Ovis aries: one gene and its partner. The protein of the gene in region 2 purifies or fractionates together with the protein of the main gene of each other region. This does not show direct contact. Links are inferred from orthologs where the notes say so. Each region holds a gene or a part of one and is shown on either strand. Other genes may lie near its edges.

The links. The genes of interacting proteins can lie anywhere in the genome.
Region 1: the proteins of PUS10 (region 2) and ABITRAM purify together in Homo sapiens (affinity purification with mass spectrometry; 3 studies listed by BioGRID and IntAct, counting the BioPlex papers as one, with this or other methods). This does not show direct contact. The link is inferred for Ovis aries from reciprocal best matches to the Homo sapiens genes PUS10 and ABITRAM.

Annotation. Positions count from the first base shown.
Region 1 is NC_056055.1:14,337,546-14,341,708, forward strand, and holds the end of ABITRAM (protein Abitram), read right to left. Parts: intron 1,887-4,163; coding exon 1,810-1,886; intron 1,723-1,809; coding exon 1,653-1,722; intron 1,562-1,652; coding exon 1,424-1,561; 3' UTR 509-1,423; downstream 1-508. UniProt on the Homo sapiens protein: Actin-binding protein that regulates actin polymerization, filopodia dynamics and increases the branching of proximal dendrites of developing neurons.
Region 2 is NC_056056.1:63,066,876-63,070,392, reverse strand, and holds part of PUS10 (tRNA pseudouridine synthase Pus10), read right to left. Parts: coding exon 3,459-3,517; intron 3,366-3,458; coding exon 3,310-3,365; intron 2,288-3,309; coding exon 2,170-2,287; intron 1-2,169. UniProt on the Homo sapiens protein: Protein with different functions depending on its subcellular location: involved in miRNA processing in the nucleus and acts as a tRNA pseudouridylate synthase in the cytoplasm.

The sequences.
Region 1 (4,163 bases), on a different chromosome or scaffold from region 2:
TTTTTCTTCCAAGGAGCAAGTGTCTTTTAATTTCATGGCTGGAGTCACTGTCCACAATGATTTTGGAGCCCAAGAAAAGAAAGACTGTCACTGTTCCATTTTTTCACCATCTATTTGCCACGAAGTGATGGGACCAGATGCCATCTTCGTTTTTTGAATGCTGAGTTTTAAGCCAACTTTTTCACTCTCCTCTTTCACCTTCATCTAGAGGCTTTTTAGTTCCTCTTCACTTTCTGCCATAAGGGTGGTATCATCTGCCTATCTGAGGTTATTGATATTTCTCCCGGCAGTCTTGCTTCCAGCTTGTGTTTCATCCAGCCCAGCGTTTCTCATGATGTACTCTGCATATAAGTTAAATAAGCAGAGTGACAATATACAGCCTTTTGAGGTACTCCTTTCCCAGTTTTGAACCAGTCCATTGTTTCAAGTCCGGTTCAGAGTGCGAGTAGGGGTGGGAAAGGGATAACTTACAACTTGAACAGCAAAAGATGAAGGAAGTCCAAAAGAATTTACACATCAATGATAACTTTTATTTAAAAAGAAATATTTGTATGTTTGTATGTGTTGCAGCCCTTAAGGAAAAATAAAAATTTTAAAAGCACTTTTATTTGAAATTCATTGTAAATATATAATCTGAAACCATAAATTCATAGATTTTTGTTTCTTTAAATATGAAAGCTTTTTTTTTGTTCAAAGGCATCTGTGTCTTTGAATTATAATAACTTCTTCACTGGTTATCCTGTAACTGAAGTGTGAGATTGACCACAAATAAACGTTACGTAACACCACATGGTAATACTTCCATGTTAGCAAAGCCCCTTTCAGGCCTTTTCATGTGTCCCCCATTAAGAAGCCAGTGCTACATTGTTCAGAGCTGAAGGCCAACCTGTAGGAACAGAGAAGGCAAACTATGCCCTTGCCTCTTCTTGGCAACGTAAGTGAGACCAGACGTTTTGGTGGTGTCACACTGAAGCAGATTGGGGAAGAAAGGCTGGTGGTTTTTCAGCTTCAACATGACGGAAAATTGAGGCAAAAACAATTACCATCTGTAACATTCAAACAGAATTATGTCAAAACATAGTAGTTATTAATGGGCTACAGGATGATGAGTAAATTTTTCCACAAAATGCTTTGTTGGTTTTTAACCAGGAAAACATCTTGCTTGCCAGTTGTTAGAGAAAAGCAAGAGAAGAACAGAGTGAGTGAGTACATGCGTAGTCAGATCTGGGAGGCAGAAGACAGAACTGAGGCTTGTCATGCAAGATGAAGAAGGGAAACTCGGTCGGTTTTCAGATCGGGCCTCGCTGCGGGTGGCCGGGTGGGAAGGCGGCCTCACCCGCGGTTCTTCCTCGGTGCACGGACTGGCAGGCCAGGTAAGGACAAGGAGGCAGCGCTGCTTTCACTCCGCCTCAGTCCTCGCCCCTCAGGAGGCAGCTGTTGTGGCTTTGAGGCGTTTCACCACAACTTCTTCATACTCCTTTTGTGTCAGTAACCCTTCTGTTACGCTTTTACTTTCTTCAAATTTGGGCAACACAACTGCAATGTAGCCTTCGGTAGATGGCTAGAAAGGAAACAATATTTAATGTTGTTGAATGATACAGAAATCAGATAAAAAGTACTGGATGGGCTCCTACTTCCCCAGCCCTTTTTACCTTCTCTTGAAGAATAGATGGTTTATGGAGAATGTTTTCATTCACTTCCATCAACCGCCCCCTAACACAGCTAGTTAAAAAAAAAAAAAAAAATTGGTTTGAAGAAAAGTATTAACCTCCTTTCTTTCTCCAAAGTTGTGGTTCAAAAGTAACTTACCTAGATATGGTATATTCTTCTCCATCTGAGCAGTAAATCTTACACAGAGGTGCAAGTTCTGTGAGAAACTGTGCCCCCTGATAATAAAAGGGAAGAAAAATTAATTGATGTACATTTTCATTTTTCTTTGAGAGGCAGCCCTCAGTGTTACAATAGCATATATTCCTGGAATTTGTGTTTTAAGTAAAAATGAGTGAAGTACAGAAAAAAACATTCATTTCTTCAAACATTTATATATTAAATGCCTGCTACGGGTCAGGTAACATCCTAAGCTCTAGGGGGAAAAGCAGTCAAAGACACATGTGATAATAGTTTAGTTACATATTAAGAATATATTTTATCTTATTATACGTTATATTTAACTGTATATGAGAAAGCTCCATATATCCAAGTGTAAATATATCAAAAGGACAGGGAAATCTTATGAATAAACAATATAAAATCCAATATTATAGCAAACGACAGCAATGTCATACAGTTAGTTTCATTAAGATTCCCACTTATTTTTATATTAGAACTATAATAGATAAAGGGCTTCCCTTGTGGTTCAGCTGGTAAAGAATCCGCCTGCAATACGGGAGACCTGGGTTCAATCCCTGGGTTGGAAAGATCCAACCCAGGTACTGCAGCTACCCGCTCCAGTATTCTGGCCTGGAGAATGCCATGGATAATAGATAAAAGGACTTATTTATTAGGGTCAATCACTAAGGCTTTTTGAAGAGGGATCTTTGTTCTAATTTTTTTTTAAATGCACTTTAAGGAAAATGTGGAAAACAGAAAAGTTTTAAATAGCAGTTAAGAGTAATTTACTCCTTACCCTGTCTCCCACTAGTGTATACTGAATTTTGACATGAATCTGTCTGAATGTCATGGCACAGTTTTAGTTTCACGTTCTCCACTGTACAGATATATCTGGAGAGGTTCTGACAAATACCTACAAGAAGGCTCATAGGAAACGGATGTAAGCATGTTTCATGTATTGCTCTTTTCTTCCAGGAATTTTTACTGCAGTGAACATTTGAGGTCTAGATACTGTTCTTTAGGGCCTCTTTACCACTCACAATATCATTAGTATTCAGGTGTTGTTAGCACATGCTTCACTTCTCTGGCATGTGCTGACTCTGTTTCAAAATACTAGTCAGTGTGACTCCCCACTTTTGAGAGAAGCAGTTAGGGATTTATCCTAGATGGTTTCTCTACCACTGGGTCTGTATCAAAAAGAAGTGTGTTTGTTGTCACCTCCCTTAGAATAAATGATGAGCAGTGCTGAGATCCAATCAGCGTTTCTCTACAGAGGGTCCATATGCAGGTCCCTCTCTGTTCCTCAGTTGTAACAATGGTGTTACTGTTTTGGACAAAGATTTATCACAGGAACATCAGAAGCACTAACTGTTACTTGTAGTTTGTAGATTTCAAAGAATGGTCCATGCTTTTTAAAGTCCATTTTCTTCTTGAATGAGGGGGGGAAATCAATAATTATAAGGCAGGTTATTAGAGGCCTTTAGGCCTAGTATAAACAAGGGTCTTATAGAACAGTGAGGGTAATTAGCAGAAACTCTTTGTATGAACTCAGTAAATGAAAATCACTGCAGATGGTGACTGCAGCCATGAAATTTAAAGACATTCTTTGGAAGAAAAGTTATGACCAACCTTAACAGCATATTAAAAAGCAGAGATATTACTTTGCCAACAAAGGTCTGTCTAGTCAAGGCTATGGTTTTTCCAATAGTCATTTATGGATGTGAGAGTTGGACTATAAAGAAAGTTGAGCACTGAAGAATCGATGCTTTTGAACTGTGGTGTTGGAGAAGACTCTTGAGAGTCCCTTGGACTGCAAGGAGATCCATCCAGTCCATCCTAAATCAGTCCTGAATGTTCACTGGAAGGACTGATGTTGAAGCTGAAACTCCAATACTTTGGCCATCAGATGTGAAAAGCTGACTCATTTGAAAAGACCCTGATGCTGGGAAAGATTGAAGGCAGGAGGAGAAGGGGACGACAGAGGATGAGATGGTTGGATGGCATCACCGACTCAATGGACATAAGTTTGAGTGAACTCCCGGAGTTGGTGATGGACAGGGGGGCCTAGCGTGCTGCAGTCCATGGGGTCGCAAAGAGTTGGACACGACTAAGTGATTGAACTGAACTGAAGTCATCCACTCAAACTTCACCATCTGGGGTCTTTGTCAGGATATTTTAGTATGGTATTGAATTGTCCTTGGTGTGATACCCTCCTTTAATATGAATAATATTGGTCTTACATAGAGTTGTAGAGGATAGAGGTAACATTTTTCTATAACTGAACACTCTGGAGGAAGAAGGTATTGCTAGATGTGTACTAAACTGGCAATGAT
Region 2 (3,517 bases):
ACCTGTATGTTTTCACCAAAATACTCATTATTAAAATAAACACTATTCTGCACCTTGCTTTCCCCTGCCAGTGTTATGGATGTTCCTACAAGTCATAGATGTAGACCTACCTACATCTTTTTTTCACAACAGTTTTAGACATATATACATACAACAACACAAATTAAATGGGATCACATGTTTTAGTTTTTTTTAAATAGCTGCATAATATTCCAACATGTTCTACCATTTCCTTATCAAAGGAAATTTACTTTGTTTACAGTTTTGTTGATTTTCACACTCTGAACAAAGTCAACAAACATCCTTGTGCACATATCCTTATACACTGAAGTTTTATTTCTTCAGGACAGATTGCCAATAGGGGAAGTACTGGGTAGACCATTAAACTTTTATTTTCACAGTCACTGCCACATTGTTTTCCAAAAGGTTAAAACACTTATATTTCTACTGAAAATATAAGTAACTAGCCTTCTCCCTCCAACCGACAGACATTCTTAGCCTCAGAAGAATAAAGTGATGTCATTGTTGCTTTAGTCTAGAGGTAAAGTATCTTTTCAAATGATTCTTGGCCATTTGGAGTTGCCATTTTTTCAGCTGTCTGTTCAAATAATTTGTCCAGTTTTCTCTATTGGGTATTTATGTTTTTCATAAGTATAAATCCTATTTATGGTATTTCTTTTGCCATACATTTTTTTGGTACAGAGTCATACATATGTGTATATATAACCACACACTTTGTGTGTCTAAATCACAATGTATCATCCTCTATATATTCTTTTATTATTTTTTTAATTTACTTATTTTTGGCTGTGCTGGGTCTTCGTTGCCGCACACGGGCTTTCTCTGGTTGTGGCAAGCAGGGGCTACTCTCTAGTTGTGGTGTGCAGGCTTCTATTTACTGTGGCTTCTCTTGTTTTAGACCACGGCTCTAGAGTGCATGGGCTCACTAGTTGTAGCACACAGGCATAGTTGCCCACGGCATATGGGAACTTCTCAGGCCAGGGATCAAAGCTGTGCCCCTGCACTGACAGGCGGATTCCCAGCCACTGGACCACCATAGAAGTCCTTTATATTCTTATAGCTTGTTTTTTTTCCCCCCTTTAGTATTCATCAGGAACATTTCCCTTTGTCAATGAATATTCATCTTCCATAAAATTTCTAACATCTGGCTAGTAATAGTCCATCATACCAGATAAGCCATAAGACTAAACCAGTCCCCTCTAGATTTTTACAAAATATTGCCCATTTAAACAATGCTGTGATAACTACATATTTGTGCCCATTTTTGCTCATTCCTTGCATGTGAAAGTAAGTTATCTTTACAGGAAGAGGTGGGGGCAGGTGGGAAGAAATACTCAAAGGAACATGTAGATCCTCAAGAGCAACATCCTCATGTGAAGGAAAATCTAGCATGTGCCAAAACATTTGTGCCCTACATATATCCCCCTGACATACTGATTTACAATATGTTTTATCTGTGCAGTTAATCTGAGCACCAATTCTATTAGATAAATTCTGTTTTCTATTTCCTTTCTGCAGATGGTCAAATATAATAATAGCATTGTTGAAGGTTTTCTATATGCCAGATCCTATCATAAGGGCTTTATGTGACTAAACCTGTTTAATTCTTCTAACTAATTTTATCGATGAAGAAACTGAAGCACAAAGAAGCTAAGCAACTCATCCGAAGTCATACAACCAAGAAATGCAGAACCAAGATTTGTACACAGGTTATCTGTTCTTGGAGTCAGACTCCTAATCAATAGCAACACTGCTTCTCAGACAGGTTAGATGAATTACTCAGTCATTTAAGGAGTAAATGGCAGAGCCAGAATTTAGAACCAGGTTTCACAGCCCCTGGTGGCTCAGTGGTAAAGAACCCGCCTGCCAATGCAGGACACATGGGTTCCATCCCTGGGCCTGGAAGATCCCCTGGAGAAGAAAACAGCAACCCTCTCCAGTATTCTTGCCTGGGAAATGCAATGGACAGAGGAGCCTGGCAGGCTATAGTCCAAGGGGTTGAAAAAGAGTTGGACATGATTTAGCAACTAAACAACAGCAACAACTCAAGGGTCCCCAAAGCCAGTGTGCTATGACTTGGCAATAAATGAGAAGACAAAAGACTTTCATAGTTAGTAGAAAAACAGAAGAATTAGAGCACTGAACTACCTTTATGTCATCTAGGAATTCAATGTCCTTCCTCTGTATTGCTTTATTTGTCCATATTAAGGCACTGTAGGTCTTGGTCTTCTCTTCTTCACCTTCTTTCATATGTCCTATTGCCTCTCTAAACAAAAACAATAAAAGAAAGTTTGTCTGAGTTTATAAAATACAGATAAGCCTTGCCCCAAACTTCTCTTTCTTTAAAAATAGCTTTAGTGAGATATAATTTACATACAATTCCTCTGTTTAACTGAACGATTCAGTGATTTTTAGTACGTTTACAGAGCTGTGCAGCAATTACCACAGTCTAATTTTAGAACACCTTAATCACCCCAAAAGAGAAACTCCACACCCAACTGCAATCTCTTCTCGTTCCCCATTTCCCCCAGCCGTTGGCAACCACTAGTTGACTTTATAGACATCCCTACTGGGAACATTTTATATAAAATATGAATACTGTAAAATGTATAATATGTGGTATTTGATGTCTGGCTTCTTCATAATGTTTTTAAGGTTCATCCACGTTGCCACATGTATCAGTATTTTAAAGTAAAGTACTGATATTTTACCACTGATTTTCCACTGTATGGATATACCATTTTGTTTATGCATAGACATTTTTGTGGTTTCCACTTTTTTGCTATTGTGAGTAATGTGACTATAAGCATTCATGCAGAAGTCTCTGTGTGGATGTACATTTTCACTTCTCGTGGGTATATAGCAAAAGTGGGACTACTGGGTCAGATGGCTACTATATATTTAACCTTTTGAGAAACTGCCAAATTGTTTTCCCAAGTGGTACTAGTTACCATCCCACAGGAATGTACAAGGGATCCGATTTCTCCACATTCTCGCCAATACTTGCTGTTTTCTGTCTTTTTTGTTAAGTGGGATCTCATTGTGGTTTTGATGTGCATTTCCCTAATGACTAATGATGCTGAACACTTTTTCATGTATTCACTGGCTATTTGTATATCCTCTTTGGAGCAATGTGCACTTAACATTGTCTCTAGTTTTAATCGAGTTGTTTTCTTATTACTGAGTTGCAGGAGTTCTTTATATATTCTGGATACAAATCCCTTATCAGATAAATGATCTGTAACCAAAACTCCCCTCTTGAGACATCACCAGTGAGCCTACCCTTACCTTGTGACAAGCTGCAAGTCACGGACTTGGATTTTGTTAGATGAGTTATTAATTTTCTGTAGTATTAGAAAAAGAAAAACAATTAGCAACTCTAGTTCAGTTACAGAGTTGCAGAAACATGACAATTTCCATGTCATGAAGTGGTTTACCTGCTGAAGTTCCTTAATTTCTTGTGAAGTGAAATGTACTCTATGAGGATTCACCAGCT